7 linked regions of the Rattus norvegicus genome follow. The protein of the gene in region 1 purifies or fractionates together with the protein of each later gene. This does not show direct contact. Links are inferred from orthologs where the notes say so. Each region holds a gene or a part of one and is shown in the gene's direction. Other genes may lie near its edges. The genes, in order: Zranb1, Strn3, Cttnbp2, Cttnbp2nl, Gcc2, Fbxw11 and Strip1.

Region 1 (4,295 bases):
TGGTTGAGGAACCGGAAAAGGATGGCGGGGTGATACATGATTGGTCCTCGCGCTTATTCAAACTTAAGCAAGTTTTGAGCGGGCAAAAGGGATATCTGGGGTCACACAGATGTTCTTTGTGGCTTTTCTCGGAACTCTGGGTTCAGGGTGGAGGACGTTGTTTACACGCTTGGAGTACAGCTATCTGATTTCATGGCACCTCCGAGTTCCTGGAACACAAACTTCCCAGTACATGGGTCATGTAAGAGTTAACTTGTACAGGCTGAAAGTCAGGTTTAGGCCTTGAGTGGGTGGGCGACAGGGACGAGTTTTTGAAAAACATTTCAATACAAGTGAGTGTGGGTGCTGGTAGAGGCCACAAAAGGGCACTGAATCCCCGTAGCTGGAGTTACAGATTACTGTACTCCACTGAAGTGGCTGCTGGGAACTGAACTCAACTCTGGGTCTTTGCGAGAGCTGGAAGTACTCTTATATGTTGGCTGTTTCTCCAGCCCCCATATTCTTTCGTTTTTTTTAATTAATTAATTTATTTCTTTTGTGTGTAGCTCAGAGAACAACTGTGGGAGTTAGTTCTCTTCTTCCACTATGTAGGTACTGGGGATGGAACTCGGGCTGTCAAGCTTGGCAACTTCACTATAAAAATAAATGGTAGTTGAAACCAAGTGTAGTGGTGGCATACTTTTAAGTCCGGCATTCTGGAGGCTGAGGCTCTCAGCTACTTAGAAGGATTAGAAATAAACTGGGCTACAAGAGAACCTCGTCTGAAAACAAGTAAAAAGCAAAGTAAGCAGGGCTTGTAATCTCAGCGCTCTTGGGGAGGCTGAGGCAAGAAGATCATTTAAGAGTTCCAGGCCAGCCTGAGCCACAGAATGAAAGCCTGTGTTAAATTATGGAAATTTAAAAAAGGTTTTAAATGTCCTAAGGAACCGCCAAGCAGCATCCCAGTTAGCAAACAGCTCATTCCTGAGACGCAAGACTCGCGCTAGTTCAAAGCTCTGGGGACTCAGCTGTAAGAGCCCACGGCGGTCCCGGAAACCCGACTCCTACCTTCCAGGCGTATCCTGCACTTTTATTTGAGGAAACTCGCCACCCGGGAGGATGCGTGGCAGGACCGCGCGGGCTCTAGCCTCACAATCAGGACGCATGCTGCTGACATCACGGCCTCGGCCCGCCTCCTGCTCCGGGAAAGAGGCGATCACCTATTGGCTGCGCCTCCTGAGGCCTCGGGACCAATCACAGGACGGTGAGCAGCAAGGTCCAGTTCCTGACGTTGTGCAGCCGCCGCGGGGTTTATTTAGCTCTAGGGTCTTGACCGCCGCCATTCGGAGTCTTCAGCGCCCGAGGCCATCCTCAGTCTGCTCCGCCCCTGTCCCCGAGCCTCGGCCCCCGCCTCCGCGCCGCCTCTCCGCCCCTCGGGCCGCTGGGAGCCGCGCGCGGGCCCGCGGAGAACATGTCCTGACTGAGGCGGGAGGGCGGAGGCGGCAGCAGCGGGGTGGGCGGCGGCGCCGAGGGAGGCGGAGAGGGGCCGGGCTCGGCTCGTCGCCGCGGGCCGTGCGGGAGTCGCCGCCGCCGCCGCGGCCGCCCGGCGCCGCGCGTCAGACGGGGAGGAGGAGGAGTCGCGGCCGCCAGGTAACCGGGCCTGGGTTGGGGGCGCCGCGCCGCAGGCCCCTCGCGGGTCGACCGCGGCCTGACGGGGCGTCGCGGGGCGCAGGCTGCCGAGCCTCCGGGCAGCAGCGTTGCGGGATAGCGCATCGCAGGCCCGGGGTTGTCCGCGGCCGCGCGTCCATCTTGGGCTTTCCGGCGCGGGGACAACCCGGGGGATGAGGGAGAGTAGCCCGCCCGGCTTGTTTACCGATCTGATTTGGCCGCCGTCGGCTGTCTGGCTGGCAGCCTCATTCTGCCCTTCTGCCCGCCTCATTCCGGCGACTAGAATTCCTCCCGAGTCCGAGTGTGTGGGTCTTATTCCCACTTCTCAGTAGGCCGTATACACCCGAATTCGTCGCTCTAAGTTGGTGCTGATCTCCAAACTTGTGTTTTGGTCCCTTGTCCACTTTCTCTCCGCCTCATACTTGCCTCTCCGTAGTTGCCTAAAGCAAATCAGGGTGAGAGTTGATGTCTTGTGGCCATGGGCAGCTGGAACTCCGCTCCTGGTAACGATCGCTCTGTGCAACTACCTTGTGGTTTTTGTTGTTTTGTTTTGTTTTTCTGCTCAAATTTGGCCGGTCATTGCACAGACAAAAGAGCTGTAATACTTGATATTAGCGCCGGGGAGAGGCAGTTTAGGTTATGCAGGAAGTTTGAACCCGCCCATTATCTTGGAGACACTGGTGTTTTGAAACCACCTTGCTTAGAATTTTGTATCTCAGCCCCTCGATTTCCCCCTTCGGTTACCCCCTAAGTCACTGTTATAAGTCCCTCCCACTGCTCGTAATGTTTGGTCTCTATAGTTGACCTGTGATGATGTTAATAAACGTGATGTGCAAATACTTGGAAATGTTATATAATGAGTGGCTCCTGTACCCCGCGGTCTCTCAGTTAATCCCTTATTAACTTTTGCTACATGCATGGTACCTCGGTTGAACAAACATGGGTGACTTTGTTTACATAGAGAAGACAGGGGAGACCCGAGGATCTTTGTGACAGAAGCTATTAGAAAGTCGGCTGAACTATGCTTGGGAAAAGTAAAGCTGGAACCTGTTAAATATTATTTTAATTAAATGAGGTAATTCGGTAATTCAAAAGTATATTTAGAAGTTTGCTCTTTTGATTTTGGGGCTCTTAAAATAGTCTCTTTAAATTTTTGTAACTTTTTGTAAATTTTGTAAATTTTTGTAAATTTTTTTTTTGGCCTGTGAGGGGTTAAGAGGCAGGACAATAATGAGGCATTTTACTTTTTCTGAGGAGGATGTTACTTGAATGCTCTGGAAGATTTTTACTGGTTGTTTTAACAACCTTTTATTAGTGCTGCTGAGCATTGCGGCACCCATTTATTTACTCTTGAAATGTGCTTGAGGTAGTAGATGAACTTACAATTCATGGTAATATATTTTAAACTAATGGCCTTGATCCATATATGTGTACTGATAGGGGTTGTGGCATATCAATTTTAAGTCTGAGGATTAGGCCGGGCAAGGTAGTGAATGCCTTTAATCCCAGCACTCAGGTGGCAGAGGTCTCTGAGTTCTAGGCTATACTGGTCTACAGAGCGAGTTTCTTGAGAGTCAAGGTTACACAGAGAAACCCTGTTCCCCCAAAACCATAAATAAATGAAGTCTGAGCATTAACATTAGTTCAGTTGTACAATGTTTAAGGTAAATTGATTTATGTGTAATTGATACAGTGAGAGCTGTTACTTGTACTTTATATTTATACTGCTTTTATAAAAATCAGTTAAAACTTAAAAGTAGGGGGTTGGGGATTTAGCTCAGTGGTAGAGCGCTTGCCTAGGAAGCGCAAGGCCCTGGGTTCGGTCCCCAGCTCCGAAAAAAAGAACCAAAAAAAAAAAAACAAAAACAAAAACAAAAAACTTAAAAGTAGTTGCAAAAGTAGGGTGTTAACTTTTTATATAACTTGGTTTGGTTTTATTTGAGCATTGCTATGGCTTCTCCTCTTCCTTAGAAATACCTTCTTGTTTGAACACTTTTTCTTCCAGTTTGTAGTGGTTTATTTGGAATGTTTGTGTCTCTTTATACCTTAGGTATATTTTCTGTATTTAAGTACACTGACACCTCTGAAGGGCAGTGGTGGTTCATACCATTATTTCCAGCACTCAGGAGGCCAAGGCTGGTGGATCTTTGAGTTCAAGGCCATTGTGGTTTACAGAGTGAGTTCCAGGACAGCCAGGGCTACACAGAGAAACACTAATTCAAAAAACAAAACACCACCCCCCCCAAAAAAAAGAAACCCAAAAAACAACACCAGCACGTTCACTTCTTACCACAATATATAAACTTACAGAAATGAAAAAAAAGTCAAACTCCTTTTCGTGTTCAAATTTCTCAGTAGTTGATCTTGATATATATACTTTAATCTTAATTCTTCACTATGTGAAGCTCAGGCCAGCTAAACTTAAGTTGTTTCTGTATAGTCCCCCTCTTGGCCTTTATTTATTTTACCCCTTTTTACTGTACATCAAGTTAAGTGCAATCTCCGAAGCACCCCTTTGAGAACTTAACTTGGAGGGATGTATTTGCTCTTTTGCATGATACTTTCCACCTTTTTTTCCTTAGTCTCTGGTAGCGTAGATTTCTTTTTATGACTTCTGTTTCCCAACTGTATTTTTAAGGCCCTGAGAA
Region 2 (3,500 bases), on another chromosome or scaffold:
TTTTGTGTGTATAAAAGGTATTTATTTCTAAGCTATAAACTATAAAGGATCAGTGGAGTGAGGAGGCAACTATTCACTTTCGGATGTCTTCCAAAAGTCTGTCTCTGACTCGGGTTCTAAGTGTCTCCTCTAGGCTCTTTAAACAGATAACCTTTGACTGCAGCTAAGTAGAATGAGCTACTTACTTTACACTTACGGACTTGATTAGGACTCCGTTTGGAGATGTTGACAACATACTGGGTTTACGGAAAACTGAGGCCCAACAGATCTGCAGACTGATGTCTGAATGTCCCAAGAATGAGTGGCTGCTTGGCTGGCTGCAAATTAACTGCACTAGGACCTAAGAAAAGGCTCTTTCCACCAGCTGTGTGCCCACCACAGTGATCGGAGTTAGACACTATTCAGCAGCCTGGTTTCCTAGCTGAATCTTTTGTTCTAAAAAATAAAGTATGATAGAGGCTTTAATATCACTGATAAAATTTTCAAAATGAGGGGTTGGGGATTTAGCTCAGTGGTAGAGCGCTTGCCTAGTAAGCGCAAGGCCCTGGATTCGGTCCCCAGCTCCGAAAAAAAGAAAATAAAAAGAAAAAAAATTTTTCTCAAAATGAAGTCTCAGTCAGTCTCTCTCTCTCTCTCTCTCTCTCTCTCTCTCTCTCTCTCTCTCTCACTCTCTCTCACTCTCTCGTGTGTCTGTCTATCTGTCTGTCCATCCTCAGTTTCTGGTTATTTGAAATAGCATAAGTGATGATATTTTTTTTTTTTTAATCTTAAAGGTATTTGACACAGCAGAATTCTATTTTCAAATCCAGACTTTCAGTTTTTTGATCTTGCTAAAACACATCTGAGGTCTTTTGATTTTAAAGCAGGTAGAGTACCCAAGTTATGGCCCAAACATTAAAGAAGAAATGATCTATAGTAAATCTTTAACTTTTTTCCTGTCTTACATAAAATATTTTCATGTGTGAATTTATTTTTGAAAAAATCCCTGAACTCTAATAAGAAGTTGAAATAACGTGTGCAAAACTTGCCCTCTTTAACTTGCAGAGGAAACCAAAGATGCGGAGGCTCCTCCAGCCCAAAACAGCCAGCTGACGTGGAAGCAAGGCAGACAGCTGTTAAGACAGTGAGTAATGATTTCAGCTAAGAAGGAGTTATGAAAGTGCTTACATTGAATCGACTTATACGTAGAAACATTATTTTACTGTATGACTTCATAGTGCTGCTTTTAAAAATACATTTGTATCTATGTGGGCATGGGCACAGGCATGAGCCACAGCTGCTTGTGGAGATGAGAGGGCAGCTTTCAGCATTGACTCTCTTTTCACCTTTGGGACACAGGGATTAGATCCCGGTCATCAGGCTTGGCTATAGGTCACTTTATACACTCAGCTGTTACTGAAGGATGACATTGACTTCTTTCTACTATTTTCTTGCCTCCTCTCCTCTCCTTCTCTTCTCTTGTCCTTGCCTTGCCCCGCTCTCCTCTCCTCTCCTCTCCTCTCCTCTCCTCTCCTCTCCTCTCCTCTCCTCTCCTCTCCTCTCCTATTTCTTATGTGGTAGAAAAACTGAAAAAAAAAAAAACAAAAAAAACCAAAAACTGGATGACGACTTCAACTGAAGTAGTATGGCTTATATGGAGTTGGGCTGCATTTAAAAGCATTGGCTGCTCTTGCAGACATTCCAGTTTTGATTCTTAGCATCTACATTGTGGCTCACAGACATCTGTAACTCCAGTTCCAGGGGATTCGGTGCCCTTATCTGACCTCTATTGGTCATCTTAATCTAGGTACTGTGTGCCCTGTATACTTTCATAAATGTAGGGAAAGTACCTGCAACATAAAAATAGTCATTCATGTAGTACATACACTCTCACTACGAAGTTTACACACATGTGTTTGTATGAGAGGTATAGAGAAGTATTGATATTTGAAACTCTTTAAAGATGGCTTGCCAAATCCTTTTAGTTGAAATTATTTTATTCTGCATATGAGTATCTTTTCATTTCTCCGTGTGTGTGTGTGTGTGTGTGTGTGTGTGTGTGTGTGTATAAATTTATATATCTACTCTTTAAAAGATATTTATGTATGTCTGTATAGAGGCATGTCACATGTGTATGTATCTCAAAAGCTTTTCAACACTGAGGCTCTTTTAGGTATTGAGATAATTGGTTCAATCAATGTCAGTTAGTCATACTATATGCTCCCCCCTCTCCTCCCCTCCCCTTTCTCTCTCTCTCTCTCTCTCTCTCTCTCTCTCTCTCTCTCTTTCTTTCTTTCTTTCTTTCTTTCTTTCTTTCTTTCTTTCTTTCTGCTTTTTCAAGATAGGGATCCTCTGTGTAGCCCTGGTTATCCTGGAACACCTGTAGATTAGGCTGGCCTCCATATCCTGAGTACTGGGATCAGAGGTGTGTGCCACCACACCTGCCTTAATCCATTTTTCAAAAAGATTGTTTTATGTACATGAATTTTGTCTGGATGTATGCATGCTGGGTGTCCACATAAGTCAGAGGAGGGTATAAGCTATCCTGGAATGTGAGTTATGGATGGCTGTAAACCATGTGAATAATATCCCTAGCACCCATATTTCAATTTTGACTTAAAAGTTGACATCATTAGCTGGAATTAGGCTATAATGAAGTTATTGAGACGAAGAATAATTTGTGTGATTGTGAACTTTAATATGATTTGAAGGTGGCAGATGTTGACAGTCTGTTGAGTTTTAGTGTTTAATTTTATCTTGATAGGTATCTTCAGGAAGTAGGATATACAGATACAATATTAGATGTACGATCTCAGCGGGTAAGGTCATTACTTGGACTGTCTAATTCAGAGCCAAATGGATCCATAGAAGCAAAGAATTTAGAACAGATCCTGAATGGTGGTGAATCTCCTAAACAAAAAGGACAAGAAATCAAAAGGTATGATTTGTATTTGTTGATTAACATCGTTTAACTTATGGACATCAAAATCAGTGGTACAACAGAGACTTTTCATAGAGTCTCACTTTTGCTAGCTTTTCTATAGTTGTATTTATTGTTAGATATTAAATGAATCTATGGAAGCCACTTTGTTTATTAGAGAAACTTAAATTATTAGGTTTAGGAAAATAGATTATGGTTATTACCTGTTACCTGAGTAGTTTTGAAATACTTGAAAACATTTTAACAGATTAAAGACATTTTTTTTTTTTTTTTTGCTACATAAAAAATTTATAAAATGGATTGGTACCTCTTGGGTCCCAGAATCCTAACTAGATGTGGGAAGGGAATGAAGAAATGACAGACATTGGACACATACACACAGGGAAACTGGGATGGCTTCCTGGACTCTCTGATGGAGAAGGGCAGCACCCAGGAGGCTTAGTGTGTGTGTTATGGAAAACTGAACAAGGAAGCAGGGGTTCATGTTGTGCAACTGAATCAGGATTAGCTAGTTTTGGTAAGGGACAGTCTCCACAGGGGAGCAGTCTTCAAGACGTTTCTGGGTTTGGGAGTTAGACAG
Region 3 (3,500 bases), on another chromosome or scaffold:
TATTCCTCTTTGCCCTGGAACCTGGGATCTTTCTCTTGAGATGCCCTGTGTCCCTGCCACCTCTGTCTGTAACAGTGAGGTGAAATCCCAGTGAAAAGCCGGAGTGGCAGAGGGGTCTCATTTTAATGGGTTGCGTTCTAAAGTACGCTAACCAGAGGTGACCTCATAACAAATCATGAACTCTTAAAATAGTGTTTTAAATTGTAAATGAATTAGAAATTCTTACCAATTTGTCAAATGAATATATAATATATAATGTATAATATACACATATATTTATATATTATATATGATATATTCCAATGGTTACATGAAGAAGGTTAAAATAGGAATCACTCCAGGCAACTGAATCCCCAAACCTTTGCAAATTTTTCTGTTTCCCTTCCTTCCTTCCTTCCTTCCTTCCTTCCTTCCTTCCTTCCTTCCTTCCTCTCTTTCTTCTTTGTGATTGTTTTTCTTGTTGATATTATTTATTTTATTACTATTATTTATTTTATGAATTCCATTTCATTTGGTTCAGACTTTTTTCCTTCCTTAAAGATATTTTCTAAAGTATACTCGTGTATGATTGGCTTGAATGCTAAATCGCAAAATCAGAATGGTCTGGGCTGTGACCTTAACCCTCTCCACCCTCTGAAGCTGGTGCCAGAAGCTGTTCTCAGCTCCTTTTCCTCTGCCCTTGCATGTCCCCATGTTTTGTGGCCTGCTATGCAAATCCTCACCTTTACTAGCGTTTGCCTACAATGCCGTGTAGCCGAATGACTTTCTAACACCTGTAGAGTAGCTGTGTGGACTCGGGTTTATTCTGTCCTTAACTAATCCAGTTAATCACATATTACCATTTCTCTCATGGCTGAGAATTTCAGATGAATACTAATGTTTAGTGAGGTCTTTCTTTTAATTCCAACATATAAGTAACAGGAGTTCTTAAAATAAATTGTATTGGGAGAAAACTGGAAATTATAGTAAAAAAATAACATTTGTTTAAATTTAAGAGCTTAAAGTTTACAATATTTTCAAAACGTTTTCTTTTGTGAAGATTTAGAGACCATTTTTTTTCAGTCCTCCAAAGAAACTGATACTGCTTTCTTTGAATCTGACTGGAAAAGCAACAACACTTCATGACCTTATGATTAATAACATTTTTGAATAAAGCCTTTTACTGCTCTCAAGTGGGGTCTTCCAGAAAATTATACACATAATTGAATATTTCCATATAAACCCATATAAAACAATTGGAAATGTGAATTTGTATTGTCTCTTACAAAGCCTAGAACTGTGGTTTAAACTAAAAGATGAGCAAACTTTAGTATGTACACATTGGTATTCATGGAAGACTGTCAAGAACCTAGATTCCTTGAATGAGATGTAAAGAAGAGATGAGTGTGTGTGCACGCATGTGTACAGATGTGCGTGTGTGTATGCATGTGTGCATGTACATGTGTGCCTGTGTGCATGAGTGCGGTGTGTGTGTGTGTGTATGTGTGTGTGTGTGTGCACGCGCGCGCAGATGTTTGCGTGGGTGCATGAGTGTGTGTATGCATGTGTACAGGTATGTATGTGTGTATGAGTGTGTGTGTACATGAGTATGTATGTGTGTGTGTTTATAGCATGAAGCAGACCCCCCCATCCCTGTTCTGCTGGGGACGGTAGTGTAATGCTTTCTTATTGCTTGTTAATTACAGTCAAGGTGTCCTACCTTGGTGTTTATAATTTTCTGTCTATCATCCATTTCTAATAAGTACTGATTTAATTTTTGTGGGCCTGTTTTTTTTGTTTGTTTGTTTTTAAGAAAATACAAAAGGTAAAATGTACCAGAGAGGAGCCTTCTTGTAAGTATGAAGTAAAAATACTACTTTTCTAAGAAGACCTAATCAATATGGATGGGAAAATATAAAGATTTGAGAAATATTGAATTTTATAAACATTTTAATTGTCTGTCATTGCTGTCCTGATATGATAAAACAATAAGTAATCCGTGGATTCAAATTATTAGTTGTAAAGATATAATTTTGAGATTCAATCTTCCATGGATTTCTATTGGCATAAATGGCCTCTCTGACTTATTTTTATAAAGAATTTTCAATATTCAGAGGAGTTTCTTTGATATGTACTTTAAATATATCCTGAAAGAAGTAAAGCCAAAAACTTGTGATTAATCATAAGAATTGAATATTACATTCATATTAGTGTAACTGATACTGATAGCTATATAGCTATTCCCCATGGAAAGTCTGCATGAAGAATATATATGTGTAGTTATGTACAGAACTGCTGAAAAGTACTGGGGCTCACTCAATGTATTTAACCCGAAAGGACATAATTATCAATTAAATAAACATGTGTACTTTACTGTTTTTACAGCCTTTTGATCAAGGAAGGATTCAGAAAATTTTCCAGGCTATATGCAGCCGACTTCACACTCTTAACAGATTCTCTTCTAAAACTGCTAAATACTGATGAGAAAACTAACCATGATCATCTTGCAATCTTTGTTTAAAGCTGTGTGGTAGAGCACCCTGCTTTGTTGGCCAATCTCAAGTTTGTTAGTCCTGCAGTGAAGATGGCGAGAGGTGGCCGTTTTCAAAGTTTTCAGAGTTACTGAACTATGTTCTGTCGTACAATACAGCCATTTATATATATTGTATTTCTGTCAGCTTTTAACACCCATATTTGTTTCTTAGATTTGAAATGAAGGAATAGGACAAACTCCTTGATAGAGTGAGGCCTATTTCCTGGTTTATACAAATAATTATCTTAGAAGCATTGTTGAAGAAACTCTTTGCAGTTATGGTGGTATCTCACACTTACTTAATTTACATTGCCATATCAGTATTGAAATTAAGGTAACCTTTATATAATCTTAAAATTCAAAATGATCTTAAATTCTAAATAGAAATTTAAGTTTGTGGAATGTGGTAGCCGTCTCGGCCTCCTAAAAGCAATTATTTCTTTAACTCTTTTTTCTTGTGCCAAACTGACGACTAAAAATAACATGCCCCCCCATCAAGGTTAATTTAATTAGCACCAGATAGAAAGTCTGAAAATAACAGTACGGATTTATGCTAAGACAGTATTAACAGATTGATAATGTTAGAAACCATGTAATCTTCTAGAAATACGTGTTCCTGTCTCTGTGTGTGTGATTGAAAAAAGAATGGTAGTTTCTGTCTCTTCTTCCTGCTGTCTAACTAGGGTCACTTTAACCTACAGGCTGGTCACCCTCCCTAACCCCTTTGCTAATGAGTGGTGGTCCTGCCCCCCTGGCTGGCAGGCCCACCCTTCTTCAGCAAGCTGCTGCCCAGGGAAATGTCACTCTATTATCAATGCTGCTTAATGAAGAAGGACTGGACATAAATTACTGCTGTGAAGATAGCCATTCTGCCTTGTATTCTGCTGCTAAGAATGGACATACAGGTAAAAAGACAAAACAAACCAAAACTGAACAGACTGACAATGCCTTACCTTAACACACTTGGCAAGAGGATGAAAGACCAAAG
Region 4 (4,203 bases), on another chromosome or scaffold:
ATAATCACTCACGGTGATGTCCACTATACAGGGTATGACAGCACTGACACGGATATTATATGGATGAACATAACACTGTGTTGACAGGAAATACTGTTTTACTTCCTCTAAACCATGATTACTCAGGCTGGGCATCTCTCTACCCAGACTGTAAACTGCACCTGTCTCGAGGACTGTGTTTGCCTAGGGCAGTGGTTCTCAACCTTCCTAGTGCTGCTGTCCTTTAATATAGTTTCTCACGTTGTGGTGCTCAACCATAATTTCGCTGCTACTCACAGCTGTAATTTTGCTGTTATAAATTGTAATGTAGGTATTTTTTTTTTTTTACAGATAAAGGTTATCCGAGGGGTTGTAACCCACAGGTTGAGAACCACAGGCAGAGAGAGTATTAAATTCCTAATATTCTCCTGCTGATAATTGTGAGGATTAGGAATAATGTATTCAGAGTAGCATGTTACTTGTGCACTTAAATACTTGTTTTCTTACATGTACTTGTTACAAATTCTTTAAAACAATGTGGTCAATCACTTGTGAGCTGAAGTGCAGGCTACGGTAGAGTGCGTTCTCTTCCCTCCAGGTTATCCGGTCTTGTTTTTATCACTAAGATCTGCATTCCTGTGTTCACAAGGACAGTCATTCCCCCTCATCCAACTGTTTTGTTTTGGCTTCGTTAAAAACGCATTCCCCACAGTATGACGGGGCCCAAACATATAAAAGAGGGCCCCACATTCATGAAAGGCAAGCACAGTGTGGGAAAACTGCGCGTAAGTTTGCAATTATTTGGCTTCGCCCTGAAAGGAAGGTCGGCAGGGGTTATGCCCTCCTCTACCGGGTGCTGTCCTGTCTGTTCAACCCCAGAGTCTCCCTTTGTGTACCCAGTGTGATGTGTTAAAGGAGATGGTCTTGTGCCCTTGCTTTCCAGCACCACACCCAAAAGTCAGTGCAGAGAGAGAGAGAGAGAGAGAGAAAGTGAGAGAAGCAAAGAAGACACGTTACTAGGTTTTCAATAACTAATTCTAAAACAAACGCTAAAACTCACTTCTTTTATTCACATTTTGGATAAACCCCAAATTAAGCCACCAAAAGGTGTTCTCAGGATCCTGAAAAGTTGCAGAGCCCAGGCGGAGAGCAGAGCGAACCCAGACTCCAGCCGACCAGAGGTGGTACTTCCTCCCGGAAGTGACGCCAGCTCAATCCCAGCCTGGCTCTCCCAAACAAAAGGGATCTTGCAGCCCCAGGAGGAGCCGGGATGACTTTGGAGAAGCCCAGCCTTCAGGCGGCGAGGATTGGTTGCAGAGCCGCAAGGGCAAGACTATAATTGGCTATGGTATCTGCCGGTCACTGCCGGCGGATGAGGGGGCGGGTCCTGGGAGGCTGGGGATGGGGAGCGGGCGGCGGAGGCGGCGGCGGGGAAGGATCCCGGAGCGCCGAGGCCAGGTACGGAGCGCGGGGTCCGGGCTCTGCGGTGCTGGGTGGCCGGGTCTCCGAGAGAGCCTCCCGGCCCGGAGCGTGTATGGCTTTCAGCAGCAGTCCCTGTCGGGGTAGGGATGGTCCCTTAGGGGGCGGGGCCGCCGCCTCCAGATCCCGGGATTCCCCGAGGAGGCGTCGCGGCATCCTCCAGGGTCCTCGCGACTGTTCATTGTCTCTCGCCAGCCTCCGCCCTTTAGCAGGGGTCTCCCCCTGACCTGTCTCACTCCATGTCGCCTTTTGCCCAGCCCTAGCCTCGGAGAGGGACTGGTGGGTGCAGTTTCTAAGCTGCAGCCCCCACCCCTATATTGGACCCCCGCAAGTCCAGGCATCCCTTCCCACACCTGCCCCTGCTGGCAAGTCTGGGTCCAGAACTAGGGTGCTGTATAAGATCTAAAAAAAAAAAAAACAGCGTTGTTCTTATGAGGGATGGGCGAGGAGGAGGGAAAAAAAAGACGAGACCCAGACAGACACCTCCAACAGTCAGAGCGGCCTTCTCCCCTCTTTAGCTCTTCCCATCCCCCAGCCTCTGATTGCTCCTACGGTCCCCCCAGATCCTGTGTTGTCTTGTTGAGTGTTGAGAGCTCCCCGGCTTAAATCATGTATTACCTTCTTCCCTTCGCCCTTTGTACCTTCCTCGCCCTTTATTTTTCTTGTGGGAGAAGCCAGCTTTTGGGGGATTTTTAGGTTTGAGTTGCCTTTCAGTTTTGCTTTCTACCCGGTTTCTTCCCTGAGAACTTAATAGGAAAGCATCCGCATATTTCATAGCAAGGTGGGTGTGTTAGCTTTCAGCAGAGTTAGCCTTGTGTGGGTAGGAATGCAGTGTGTATTGTTTGACAGTCAGTTATTAATACCATATTTTCAAATGAAACGGTGTGGAGAAGTCAGTAAATGCCTTTGCAGTAGGAATCCCCATCTCTCAGTTTGTAGTGGGCTGGTCCGTTGCTCCGGGAGACTGCAGTTAACCTTGAAGGTGTACGGCAGGTTGAAACAAAAGACAGGAAGTATTTGAACAAAATTCAGGTTCAGTTGGCTAGGTTTATAATTAATCTGGTCCTGTGGCCTCTGAGTACTATCTCACCCCTGTTTTATAATGAGATTTTATCTCAAAGAAAACGTATCTACATGTGATATGATTCTGTCTGGCGTGCCCGCATCATCAACCAAAATTTAAAGCATTAAAATAAAAGGTAGTTTTCAATTTCAGAACAAGAGCCTTGTTGACTGTCCCGATGTTAATGTCATCGAATCTCTAACCATCAGCTGTGGCTAGCAGTACCACCTATTAATTTTTCTATATTTTTGGCATTTTAAATTTTGATCCCGAGTTCATTTTACTGTTGGTTATTTATAGCCGACAGATGTGAGGTGCAGAGTTGCAGTCACAGAGGGCGATTGTAGTGGCTGTTGTCTGTAGCCTTCCTGAGTAGACTTCCTGAAGGTAATTAGTTTTGAATAGTCAGGTTCCAGAGCCACTCTAGGGCTCTGTGATTGTTTCCAGACACCTAGAGAAAGGAAGCACAAAGAAGAAACTGTATACAGGGTCTCTCCTGCAAACACAAAGTTTATTGCCATAGGAAGGAGAGATCCATTATCCCAGAAATAGCATCAGGGGTTTAAAAAAAAAAACTAGAAGTAGAATAGGAAACCCCCAAAAGATGTATCTTATTACATGAGTGGAGAACAGGAAATAAATCCAGGTAGGAGACGTCGGGAAACCTAAGGAGTAGTGATTTCCAGGGCCCTGACAAACAGAGGAAAAGCAGAATAAAGCCACTGATGTTTTGGCACAATAAACAAGAGCTGCTTAATATACCTTTGATCTGGAGGGCTGGTTTTGTTTTGTTTCATCAAGAGTGCTACTGTGTCTCCTTATGCTTCTGAAAACTGTGTAGCCCAGGATGGCTTCCCCTCCTGTTGGGATTACAGCGTGTACTATGATGTTCAACTCTGATAGAATTCTTTCCGATAACCTTTTCACTGTCATTTTTGGTCATGTTAAATGAAAAAAGCATTGTGTGCAGACAGTTTGTGTGTGTGGGTTTAGTGCATTTCATTAAATTATTCTTTGACTGCAAAAAGTTCTTGTAGCTTCCACGGTGCCTAATAGGAACACTGAATTTAGTTTAAAGCTCTCACATAAGAGTCAAACAAGACAGATAACAAACTGATAAAGTATGGCACATCTTGTTAAACCATCCGCCTTCTTGTCTTTGTGTAATTTGATTTTTCCTTATCTGACATGATAGGAAATTGCAATATCTGAAGTGGCTAAAATATTGACTTTCCTATGAGAAAATATCTCTGGATAGGTTTTATATATATATATATGTTTACTGTCATGAATTCTGAGCCAGATATATATGTATAAGAATCTGACCTAGTGGAGGTGGGGTGAGTTCTGGAGAACACTCTAGGAACTGTTGGTTAATTTTTATTGTAATTTCTGAGTATTTGATTTGACCCTAGTGTGCCGGCTAGTTTTATGTCAACTTCATACACGCTAGAGGCATCTGGGAAGAGGGAAACTTCAGTTGAGAAAATGTCCCTATCTGATTGGCCCATGGGCAAGCCAGTAGGGCGTGTTCTTGATTAGTGGTGGTTGTTGAGAGTGCCCAGCCCACTCTGGGCGGTGCTCCCCTTAGGCTTGGGCCTGAGTGCTATAAGAAAGCTGGCTGAGCAAGCCAGTAAGTGGTGTTCCTGATCCTCCATGGCTTCCGCCTCATTTTCTCAGTC
Region 5 (3,500 bases), on another chromosome or scaffold:
GTTTGCCCATCACACACCCATCATTCACTCACATACAGTAATAATAAAAAGAATAAACTTAAATTAATATAAGTAGTTGCTCCCAAAGTGTAGGTCTGCTAACTGTCTGTGTCAAACCCGAGTGGAGAACTGCTGTCAGTAGCCAATTTCCAGGACCACTATTACAGAGTCAGCAGCTAGAGTATGAAAAGTAGGTGTCACTGTTTTACAAGATAAACCAGCAAATCTGATGTGCTATCACAGTTAGAAGTAGCTGTAATAAGTCAGGTCTTTGCACCTGCGTGTTTCATGCTAATTCACTCAAAAATCGATATTTTCCTTTGGACTCTAATTATGAATAGTATCTTTTTTCATATGTTCAAGGTAGTATGAAATAGGTAGATTGATCATATATGAGCTGCCTACATAAAAACATATGAAGAAATAGAATAGTGTGTGTGTGTGTGTGTGTGTGTGTGTGTGTGTGTGTGTGTGTGTGTGTGTGTGTGTGTGTTTAAATGTTTAACAAGGCTTTCTGTCTCCCAGGCTAGTCTTACTCTATGTAGATGAGGGTGACCTTCTGATCCTCCTGCCTCCACCCCTCTGTGCTGAGATTATAAGGATATACCAATGGGTCCAGTGTCTATGGTGCTGGGGACTGAACCAGAGAATCCAACTCATGGAGGCTGCTTCAACAAGCTTAGTTCAAGTCTGTCATATGAATTTAGCTCTTCTTATCTTCAGGTTATGTTCAGCTCAATCTGAGAACACCATGTTGAAGTCTGAACACGCCCAGACAATGTGTCAGCTGACATCCCAGAATGAGGCCCTCCGTAACAGCTTCCGAGACCAAGTTCGACACTTGCAGGATGAGCACAGAAAGACAGTGGAGACCTTGCAGCACCAGCTCTCCAAGGTGGAAACTCAGCTCTTCCAGCTCAAGAGTGAGCCACCCACAAAAAGTATGTGCATCTGTGTGGAAGGATTACCTCTTTATGTTACGACATGTGTGTATCACATAAAACCATCACTCACAAATTGATGAGAAAGTAAAATGTTGAATGGATCAGTGGTCAAGAGTACTTGCTACCATTCCGGAGGACCTGGGTTTGATCCCCAGCACCCACTGGGTGGTTCACATCCATCTGTAACTCCAGTCACAGGGAATCAATCCAATGCCCTCTTCCAACCTCTGATGGCACTGCCTGCACACAGTCCACAGACATACATGCAAAATACCGAGACCCAAAATAAAAATAATAATAGTAATAATTAAAAACACGTAAAATTTAAAGGAAACAACCTGTGTCGATTCTGTGATTAATAAATTATTGATTTCCTTATTGGACATAAACGTGAGTCATGTAAACCCTTCTTGATTATACTTATACTAAGCATTGCCTTAGACTACTGATGTTCCTAACTGTGTATTTATGTTTTGTTTGGCTTAAACATGCTCCTATCAGTCTAACAGCGTGAGTTCTAATCCTATCATCTATTACTCTACCTCAAACACATGTGTTCTTGGTTGGAAGCTTTGGGCAGAGCTAAGGACTTATGAACTGTGCTTGTCCAGTCTTTTGCCAGTACATCCTCTTCCCTCAGATTTTAGTGAAGTGGAATTGTCGCTTCACCCAATGTCTTCTATTCTGCTTCCAGAAAAAGCCAAGAGAACATGAGTTATGACAGTGATGTTTTAGTCCTATGTTCATGGCACTTCATTTCCCATAGAAAAAAAAAATGTCCTGGAGCATTGGCAGGCACAGGCCACTTAACAAGGTCAAAAACTGACCTTAGGAGAATTTATTTAACTTGCACCAAGAGTTTAAAAGGAAATGATCAGCCAAAGAAAACTGGGCTGAACAAAGAGGGTCGTAATTAGGAATCAGCAGTGTAATAAGCAGTTGGTAAAAATGTCAGAAACTCAGGGAAATGCTCCAAATGGGCAGCCAGAGGTTAAAAGGACTGGGGTGACAGTTATTGAAAGATAGTATTGAAAATAAATGAACTTTGAAACTTAAACTCTGGATTAAGCTATGAGACCTTCCATAGAGTCAATTCCTCATCAAGTCTTTGGAAGTCTTACGAACTTCACAGGTTTGTAAAAGTGTTTGTCATAAGCAAGCAAGAAATCCTTTTTTGAGATAAATCATACTATGTAGCCCTGGCTTGCCTGGGACTCACTATGTCAACCAAATGTTAGGATTAAAGGCACGTGCCCAGGAGTTCTATGGTAACTGACGGTTCCCTACACTGAGTGCTGGGCTCTGTAATCTGGACACTGGAGATGTAAGCAGACAGCACTAAGTACCAGCCAAGATGGCAGAAAGGACAGCAGTGTCGGCCCACTGCAGCGTGTGGAAAGGATGGGTGTTAGCAGAGTAAGCATCAGCCCACTGTTCATCATAGGCAGCAAATAGCAATGTGTATCCTTTCTGTAGGATGATTGGCACAGCTCAGTGTCAAGTGACTAAACGAGTCCAACCACGTAGCATCCTTTCTTCAGATACCATTTGTTTACTTGCTGCTTGTTTAATTTCTTTAACTTTATTAAAGAAATGCTGGGGTCAAGTCCATTTGTTTTTAACAATTTCACTCACCCTTTAAAATATTTACTAGGCCCTGCTTCTTCCCATCAACCTTCAAAAAGCCTCCGAGAAAGACGGACCACAGACCTCCCCCTTCTGGACATGCACACTGTGACCCGAGAGGAGGGGGAAGGGATGGAGACAACTGACAGTGAGTCTGTGTCTTCGGCCGGCACACACATTCAGTCCTTGGAGCAGCTCCTTAGCTCTCCTGACAGCAAGCTTGGTAGGTCACCTCGTGTGAATGATGGTTCTTGGTTCGTTTTGTTTTTACTTTTGCTGGCTTGTTTGATAAATACTACGCTGATTTTTATGTTGTTTCGAGCTATTCCAGTGAAAGATACTACAGAGTGAAACAGATCTCTTTAAATTAAAAACTAAAAACGTAGCCAGGAAGTGGTAGAGAGCACACCTTTAATCCCATCACTTGGGAGACAGAGGCAGGTGCGTTGAATCTACAGAGTGAGTTCCAGGACAGTCAGAGAAACCCTTGGGCTGAATGAATGAATGAATGAATGAATGAATGAATGAATGAATGAATGAATAAATAAATAAATAAATAACACATTAACATAAGTATAGGCCTGAGCCAGAAGTAAAGGATAAAGGATGAAGTCATTAGAAGTCATAAAGAAGTCTTCAATGTTATTAGAAAGCAAATGAACTGTTCCTTTACCCACCAAGAAACTTAAGTTTCCGTTTACTCCTTAAACAGTGAAATATTGGCAAATTTACTGTGATAAATACAGTATAATTTTGGTATCCTTTTTGTTCTTACCTGTAATGAATATTACTGTCAGAATTCAAGAGGATGCTCTGAGACCACATTTATACTGACTATTGTGTTAGCCACCATTCAGATACTGTAACAAAATCCTTGAGAAAGGTGACTTAAGAGAAATTAGTCTTAGTTTACAGTTTCAGCCCAAGGTC
Region 6 (4,106 bases), on another chromosome or scaffold:
TGAGCCAGGCCCTCGAGATACACGATAATAGCCAGAGCTTGGTTTCTACAGCCAGATCTCCAGTAAAACATAAACAACTTCACAGACCATTAACATTAGACAAGGCCACAGAACGGCCTTATCTTATGGATCAAGACAAAAACAAGACCACTCCATAATTACTCGTGAACACAGATAAAACATGAACATTGTCTAAGCCCCTGACACACGGCTACAAGAGGCTGTCATCAATTACTGGATTAGTTTCAATCTAATATAACTTCCCATAGATAAGGTGTCCAACCTTATTACCCCCACTTCCTGGCAGTATGCGCTCCAGAGCCCCTTCAAATCCTTTTCTACATTACCTAATGTCTCTTACTGAGACGTCCATGATTCATCGTGGTGCATGTTCTCTTCTAGTTCAGCTAAAATAAACCCACCTTGTTTAACTACAGCGTATTCCTGGGGGTTTTTGGTTTGAGGGTACTGACAACTTGGAGGGCACACAGAGTTAAGAGGAAGAGTTCACTGGAAGTCTCTAGATGTGTTTCTTCACAGCATTTCTAACTCTTGGTGAATGTCTGCTGTCTTCCCATTAGAATTAAGCTTCACGAGAACAGAGGTCTCGCCTGTCATTTCCAGAGCTTAGGGCAGTACTAGTAGCAACGGAATGCTTAAAAATGTCTTCAAAATGATCAGCTTCTTTCTCATGGCTCAGCTACTTCCAGTGTAGCAGCTCTCCATACATCTGTTTCCCAACTCAAGCCTCCAAACTTTTCCTCTTGAGATGTCCATCTTCCCTTGGTTGGATCTTCGGGCTCACAGACCCCTCCCACACCTCCTGGTGCAACCTCGGACCCACCTGTCTCCACCATCTGTCCCTACCAAGTGTAATACACCGGGCGGCCGCGCAAGCACCTAGACGACCAGTGGGCACTGCAGACAACTACTGCGCATGTGCGGAAATCGGTCGCACCGCAAAGATCTCAGACAAGTGAGGAGTTGCCTCGGAGTTTCCGTCCGGGTCCGGGCAGCCACCCGCTGCCAGGAAGTCTGGAACGACCAACCGGAAGGAGACCGCGCGCGCGAGGATTTCTGGGACAAGTAGTCGCGGCGCTCGCGAGGCCCTATCCCGAGCAAGTCCTAGATACTCCAGATCTGCATGTCCCCGCACTCCCAGCCCTGCCCTCCCCTAGGTGCTCTCTCCCGTGGCGGAACCCTGGCAGAGTGGCCCGACGGCTTCTTGTTCCCATAAGGCTTAGCGATCCGCCGCGGTTGTTGGGAGTTGTAGTCTTCGCCGTGCGTCCTGCGTCCGCCGAGGGGGAGGGCGGAGCTGCCGGCGGCCCGGGCGGGCTGGCAGCTAGAGTGGGTGCCAGAGCTGCCTCCGCCGCCGCCGCTGCCACCGCCTCCTCCGCCCGGGCCGTTCGCTGCTGAGCGGAGAGAGCGAGGCGGGGCCGCCGGGGCCGCCATGGAGCCCGACTCGGTGATTGAAGACAAGACCATCGAGCTCATGGTGAGTGCGGCCCGCTGGCCTTCAGTTCTTCCGGCCGGCCGGCGGCCCGGGGGCCTGCCCACCTCGGCGTCCGCGCCAGGCCAGCCCTCGTTCCCCGTCGCCTGGGCCCGGCCGGCCCCCTGCTACGGCTCGCTGCTGACGCCTCGCGCTCTTGGGCCGGCCCGGCCTCCGCTCCCCGCGAACTCCCCCACCCCCTCCCCGCTCCTTGCCGGGCTCCGACCAGTCTCGGGCGCCCCTGCCTCGCTCCTGCCGGAGCCACCGCTCACTCTCGCCTTGCCATCACACTGTCTTTTTAGAAGGGGATTTCTTTTTCCCTTCCCTGGATTCCTCTGCCAGGCCTGCATCGCGCTTCCCAGCCCCGCTCAAGCCGAGGGTGATGGTGGTGGGAGGTTGTCCGAGACCAGTTGGAGCCGCTTCGGCCTCCGTAACCTAGGCTTAGGGGGTGGGGTGGCGGTGGGTCTCAGCACCCTCACCCCAAGCTACCGCTGTGTGGATGCCAGGATAGGCCCTTCAGGACTGGGATGTTGGGCATGCCCACGAGTCTGAGGCTGTAGGGGATAAGGGGCCTCTTTTCCGAGCCCCTGCGGTGTCAGGCTTCTTGGACAAAGGGTTTCCTACCCTGCCGTGAAGGATGTTTGTATAGCAGGGCCCTAGGTACTCAGAATTCCATCCCCCAGAAAAGGAAAACCATAACTTTATCATTTGGGAAATGAGAGGGGAGGGAGAAGAGGTCGCCTTCATCACTGCCACCCTCTTTTCTTTTAATAATAAAAAGCGGGACGGTGTGTGTGTGGGGGTGTTCTTGACCCACCGAGAAGCAGCGATCCCTTTACTGTTAGAAACCCTTGGTAGCCAGGTTGGTCAGGTCTTCCCGGACACCCCTAACCCATTTCTGACCTCAGACTTGGTGCTAGAAAGGTTTTTGGAAACAGGGCTGTGAGTGAATGGCTGGGAAAGTGAAGGATTTGCTTATTGGTGGAAGAAATAAAGTATGGCTGGTAGTACCTGCCAGTTTGAACGTGAGGGAAATCAAACTGGGCCCAGGAGAGTTGGGGACATAAGAAAGGCTTCTTCCTGTGAAAACCTTGACAGTTTCTTTGTATCTCTACTAATATCGTAACAACTAGTATCTGCCGCACAGTACTGAGGAAAGGTGAACGATCTACTGAACTTAGCAATGTGTTTTCCTCGTCAGAGTTTCTCCAGTGTGAAATGCTTATTGAGTCAGTGATTCCACTGGGTAGGGTTGGTGACATCAGAGCCACTTCCCCCATTTAGTGCTATAAATAATAAATGGTGATACTGAAAGTCTGTTGGATAGCCCATGGTTTTTGTGGATGATGTTGTCCAGGGAGCTAAGGTACACGTTTAAAATGGAAGTAATAGTAGCATAACTACAGAGTCTCATGTCTGCTGGACTCAGCACAATGTGCAGAACTGGATGGTTGAAAAATCAAACCTGGAAGTTTCTGGGGTGTGTGTGTGTGTGTGTGTGTGTGTGTGTGTGTGTGTGTGTTCACAGGGATTCTGTCACTTTATCTTCAGGTTCTGAGGACCTTTTTTCTTTTTCAGCATCCAATTGTCGGTTGTAACAGTTTGGGAAACTTTAGTAGTCCGTTATTTTGACAAAATGTCTTTAAAACGTGCCTTATGTATTAATGTGAATTCACACGTGCACCACAGTGGGCCTGTGGAGGTCAGAGGACCATGTTGTAAAGATTCTCTTCTGCTTTTACCTGGGTTCTGGGACTTGAACTCATTTCGTTCTGCATGTATGATCACGTGTCTTTGGTTGAGCCATCCTGATGACCTCTTTTTTGGCAAAGTGTCAAAGTATCTTCATGTATGAAGATACATGTTCCATCTTCTTAAAGACAAAACAGTATATCTGCTTTCATAATGACCAGTGCTTCATATGAAACATATTCACTTAAAACAACCAAAATGTCTTCTTTTTCAGGAGAGTTAGAAGAAATACAGTGTAATTAACCTCAGGCATGGTCTTTTAGCATATGACTAAAGAAATATTCTGGCCCACACTTACTGGTTTTCTAAGCTTATAACTGTTTTGTTTTGAGTAACTGTTAAGGTGCTGGGGTGCACCTTAGTGGTAGAGCACATGCTTCCTTAGTGTCCATAAAATCCTCATGGCTGGGTTAGACTGTGTGATATTGTTTGCCCTTACATTGAAGAGATGTCACCTAATGAAGACATAAAAGGGATTTAATGTAGGATTCTTAGAAATGTAATAAAAAAATGTGCCAGGCATGGTGGCACATGCTTTTAATCCCAGTTCTCAGGAAGCAGAGACAGGTGAATCTCTGTGAGTTAGTCAGCCTGGTCTACAAAGTGAGTTCCAGGACAACCAGAACTACACAGAGAAACCCTGTCTCTCAAAACCTAAACAAATAAATGAAATCCCCCAAACCAACCAAAACAAAGACCAAACAAACAAAAAAACCACAACCAACCAAAAGTCAGTCTCAAACCCCCTAAAGATTGTAGTGCCGAGGCCTGCATTGCTGGATCTGATTTACTGTCTATGCGTATGGCTCGTTGCTTGAGTCATTTATAAGGTGTGCAGCTACAGTTTTTCCAAATCGTTGGTACC
Region 7 (3,500 bases), on another chromosome or scaffold:
GAACTGTGGTTCTCCTCACTCTAGTCAGGGTCTCTGCATTTCACCTCCTGTTTTCCACTCTATCTGGTCGGCTCTGTCTTCCTTTCTGTAATCCTGCCCTGCTTTGACCTTAGTAACTTACTCTTAAGTAATGTTGTTTTGTTTTTCTTTCCCTGAGGCTTATGGCAGTGAGTTCTTTAGGCCATTCTTGTTCATATTTGTCAGCTTTGAGTAAGCTCCTTTTAGACGCTGAGAGAATAGAATGAGTTATAGTCTGGGAAGAAAGATTAAAATACTCCTCTGCTCTTCAGGGTTTCGGGTGTGATTTCTTTTCTCGGGTGTCTCTGTATTACAGCTATCCCTACCCCATGCACAGATGTTTACATCTAAGTCAGGGAGTTAGAAAGCCCAAGGGCTCCTCCCTCACATTTTTCTTTGTTTGAGACTGTCTTCATACATGACCTAGGCTAGCTTTGAGCTCACTATGTAGCCCAGGCTGACCTGAAACTCGAGACCCTCCTGCCTCAGCTTTCTAAGACCTGGTGTAACAGGCATGCCCTTGGTCCCCGTCTTACTCTCACAAGCTGGTTCTTGTGCTCAGGGTCCTGCTGAACATCATGTACCTGATTGTGGAGACTGTTCACCAGGATTGCGATGGTGACAAGGCCGAGTGGAGAACGATGCGACAGACCTTCAGAGCTGAGCTGGGTAGGACCCTGGGGCTCCTCCCTTAAGGCCTTGCTTGGGAGCTGAGTCCGAAGGGCTTTGGGTGGGTCCTGTTGCTGCTTGGGGTCCTAATACCTTTGAGTCACTTCCAGGTTCCCCTCTGTACAACAACGAGCCATTTGCCATCATGCTATTTGGGATGGTGACCAAGTTTTGCAGTGGCCATGCCCCCCACTTCCCCATGAAGAAAGTTCTCTTGCTGCTCTGGAAGACTGTATTGGTGAGCACCCTCTTGGGGGCACTCGGATGCTAGGACACTGGGCGGGAAAGAGACTCTTTATACAGTTGGCCTCTGTACCTGTAGATTCACATCCATGAGTTATAGTCTGAGGTTGTAGAATGAGTTTTGCAGCATTGGTCTTGACTGTAAGGACCTTGTTATTACTCCCTAACTACTATACCAATAATTCATGTACCACTAGGTATTAGAAATAATCTAGGGATGATTCACGCTTGCAGAAGGTTGTGCATAGGTTAAACACAAGTACCATTCCATCAAATGAGGGATGTGCTATCTACCATGGGAGAGAGGTGAGGGGAAATTCCCAGAGCCAGTCTCCCGTGGGTGATGATGAATGAATGTCTACATTTCTTTTGAGTACTGAATATGTAGCTACTTGGTTTTAGAAATGTTTAGTGGCGCTTCAGACTGAACCCAGGACCTTGCTGTGCATGCTAGGCAATCAGACTTCACTGAGCTACATCACTGGAGCGCTTTGTTTTGTTTTATTTATTTTATTTTATATGTACTAGTGTTTTCTGTGTGAAGATACCAGATCCCGTGGAGTTACACATAGGTGTGAGCTGCTATGTGGTTGCTGGGAATTGAACTCAGGTCCTCTGGAAGAACAGCCAGTTGCTGAGCCATCTCTCCAGCTCACCCATTGGCACTCTTTTTGACTTTTTATTTGTATATGTATATTTGGTATATGTGTGGTATATACACACACTTGTATATATATATATGTGTGTGTGTGGTATATGCACACACTTGTGTATTTATGTGTGGTATTGCACACACTTGTATATTTATGTGTGGTATATGCACACACTTGTATATTTATGTGTGGTATATGCACACACTTGTGTATATATGTGTGTGTGGTATATGCACACACTTGTGTATATATGTGTGGTATGTGCATACACTTGTATATTTATGTGTGGTATATGCACACACTTGTATATATATGTGTGTGTGGTATATGCACACACTTGTATATATATGTGTGTGGTATATGCACACACTTGTGTATTTATGTGTGATATATGCACACACTTGTATATATATGTGTGTGTGGTATATGCACACACTTGTATGGCTGCATACACCCTTGTGCAGAGACCAGAGGCGACATCACTTTCCTGCTCTATCCAGCTCTCTCATTCTTGGTTGTATTCCCATGGGACAGGGTCTCTAATGGAACCTGGTTCTAGGCTGGTATCCAGCAAGCAGTGCTGCCCCCAGAAGTGTTACTGTTTCTACCACCTCTGTTGGGGTTACAATCTCACATGCAGCTGTCTGGCTTTTTACATGAACACTGGGGATTCAACCTCATATCCTCATTCATCTTTTGCAAACAAGTGCTATTACCCATGGAGCCATTCTCAGTTGTTTACTTTTTATTTTGACAGAAGGTCTGGCCTTACACTTGAAGTATTCCTGCCTCAGCCTTGTCAGTATCTGCTGCCTGACTCAGTTTAAAAAAAAAAATTCCAGGGGCTGGAGATATGGCTCAGCGGTTAAGAGCACTGACTGCTCTTCCAGAGGTTCTGAGTTCAATTCCCAGCAACCACATGGTGGCTCACAACTATCTGTAATGGGATCTGTTGCCCTCTTCTGGTGTGTCTGAAGACAGCTACAGTGTACTCATATAAACATAATAATAAATAAATTTAAAAAAAAAATTCCAGGAAAGAGATGAAAAAGAAATATAGGACATGGTGGTCCACACCTTGAGTCTCAGCACTCAGGAGGCTGAGGCAGGCGGATCGCTGAGTCTGAGGAGGCTGAGGCAGGCAGATCGCTGAGTCTGAGGCCAGCAAAGGCTCCATGGTAATAAGACCCCTTCTCTAAACAACCTGGGGGTTGGTGCAGGCCTTCAGGTGACACTAGATTGACTCCCTAGCTTTTCTTAAAGCTGTTTTCTCAGTCATACAAGAACTTCACCCTCAGACAAGATGCCTCTTTGGAGACCACTCCCAAACCTGTATTTGTTAAGTGGTTTGGGGCAATGAAAATCTACTGGGCAGATGACTTCTGTATTATGTGCCTAGCCTTGAACATCCGAACTCTCTCTCCACCCACCAAGATGTCTTTTAAAGGAAGCAAGAGTGAGCCTCTAGGTTGTGTGTTTCCGAGGATATGTTGTGAAATGGACTCTGTTTCCACCTGGGGAGAGGATGGATACTGGGTGGACTGGCCATCACACTTAGGATGGGGACATTGTCAGAAACCAAGCCCTGGGCAAGCAAGAAGCCCTCTCTCCAGGATGCTCTGCCACCAGAGCTTAGTGAGTTTAAGACCTCGTAATGTGTGTATAAGCTTTATCTTGACCAGACCTGCTGGTTCCTCAGGAAGCCCCACTCAGGCTGAGAGGAAGGCTAAGTTACTTGGGGTCAGTGGCACTGAGCAGCCAGAGCCTGGGCCTCTGTGAGGGCTTTGGACAGCTTTCTATTTTGTTTTAATTTATCATTTTATCTGAGCTGTGCACAGTGTGTTTCAGTCATTGGAAGATTGACATGTGTGGTTTTGAAGCATTAATCTGCTGACCTTGGAAAGAACTGGCTCTACT

What was found.
Region 2: the proteins of Zranb1 (region 1) and Strn3 purify together in Homo sapiens (affinity purification with mass spectrometry; 4 studies listed by BioGRID and IntAct, with this or other methods). This does not show direct contact. The link is inferred for Rattus norvegicus from reciprocal best matches to the Homo sapiens genes ZRANB1 and STRN3.
Region 3: the proteins of Zranb1 (region 1) and Cttnbp2 purify together in Homo sapiens (affinity purification with mass spectrometry; 3 studies listed by BioGRID and IntAct, with this or other methods). This does not show direct contact. The link is inferred for Rattus norvegicus from reciprocal best matches to the Homo sapiens genes ZRANB1 and CTTNBP2.
Region 4: the proteins of Zranb1 (region 1) and Cttnbp2nl purify together in Homo sapiens (affinity purification with mass spectrometry; 4 studies listed by BioGRID and IntAct, with this or other methods). This does not show direct contact. The link is inferred for Rattus norvegicus from reciprocal best matches to the Homo sapiens genes ZRANB1 and CTTNBP2NL.
Region 5: the proteins of Zranb1 (region 1) and Gcc2 purify together in Homo sapiens (affinity purification with mass spectrometry; 3 studies listed by BioGRID and IntAct, with this or other methods). This does not show direct contact. The link is inferred for Rattus norvegicus from reciprocal best matches to the Homo sapiens genes ZRANB1 and GCC2.
Region 6: the proteins of Zranb1 (region 1) and Fbxw11 purify together in Homo sapiens (affinity purification with mass spectrometry; 3 studies listed by BioGRID and IntAct, with this or other methods). This does not show direct contact. The link is inferred for Rattus norvegicus from reciprocal best matches to the Homo sapiens genes ZRANB1 and FBXW11.
Region 7: the proteins of Zranb1 (region 1) and Strip1 purify together in Homo sapiens (affinity purification with mass spectrometry; 4 studies listed by BioGRID and IntAct, with this or other methods). This does not show direct contact. The link is inferred for Rattus norvegicus from reciprocal best matches to the Homo sapiens genes ZRANB1 and STRIP1.

What each region holds. Positions count from the first base shown.
Region 1 is NC_086019.1:197,153,939-197,158,233, forward strand, and holds the start of Zranb1 (zinc finger RANBP2-type containing 1), read left to right. Parts: upstream 1-1,495; 5' UTR 1,496-1,629; intron 1,630-4,295. UniProt on the Homo sapiens protein: Ubiquitin thioesterase, which specifically hydrolyzes 'Lys-29'-linked and 'Lys-33'-linked diubiquitin. Also cleaves 'Lys-63'-linked chains, but with 40-fold less efficiency compared to 'Lys-29'-linked ones.
Region 2 is NC_086024.1:74,827,974-74,831,473, reverse strand, and holds part of Strn3 (striatin-3), read left to right. Parts: intron 1-1,044; coding exon 1,045-1,123; intron 1,124-2,743; coding exon 2,744-2,917; intron 2,918-3,500. UniProt on the Homo sapiens protein: Calmodulin-binding scaffolding protein which is the center of the striatin-interacting phosphatase and kinase (STRIPAK) complexes.
Region 3 is NC_086022.1:47,836,541-47,840,040, reverse strand, and holds part of Cttnbp2 (cortactin-binding protein 2), read left to right. Parts: intron 1-1,792; coding exon of another isoform or gene 1,793-1,832; intron 1,833-3,213; coding exon 3,214-3,417; intron 3,418-3,500. UniProt on the Homo sapiens protein: Regulates the dendritic spine distribution of CTTN/cortactin in hippocampal neurons, and thus controls dendritic spinogenesis and dendritic spine maintenance.
Region 4 is NC_086020.1:195,240,104-195,244,306, reverse strand, and holds the start of Cttnbp2nl (CTTNBP2 N-terminal-like protein), read left to right. Parts: upstream 1-1,403; 5' UTR 1,404-1,437; intron 1,438-2,102; exon of another isoform or gene 2,103-2,239; intron 2,240-4,203. UniProt on the Homo sapiens protein: Regulates lamellipodial actin dynamics in a CTTN-dependent manner. Associates with core striatin-interacting phosphatase and kinase (STRIPAK) complex to form CTTNBP2NL-STRIPAK complexes.
Region 5 is NC_086038.1:26,821,582-26,825,081, forward strand, and holds part of Gcc2 (GRIP and coiled-coil domain-containing protein 2), read left to right. Parts: intron 1-723; coding exon 724-941; intron 942-2,598; coding exon 2,599-2,793; intron 2,794-3,500. UniProt on the Homo sapiens protein: Golgin which probably tethers transport vesicles to the trans-Golgi network (TGN) and regulates vesicular transport between the endosomes and the Golgi.
Region 6 is NC_086028.1:17,735,891-17,739,996, forward strand, and holds the start of Fbxw11 (F-box/WD repeat-containing protein 11), read left to right. Parts: upstream 1-1,306; 5' UTR 1,307-1,450; coding exon 1,451-1,495; intron 1,496-4,106.
Region 7 is NC_086020.1:197,946,516-197,950,015, reverse strand, and holds part of Strip1 (striatin-interacting protein 1), read left to right. Parts: intron 1-580; coding exon 581-687; intron 688-797; coding exon 798-925; intron 926-3,500. UniProt on the Homo sapiens protein: Plays a role in the regulation of cell morphology and cytoskeletal organization. Required in the cortical actin filament dynamics and cell shape. Part of the striatin-interacting phosphatase and kinase (STRIPAK) complexes.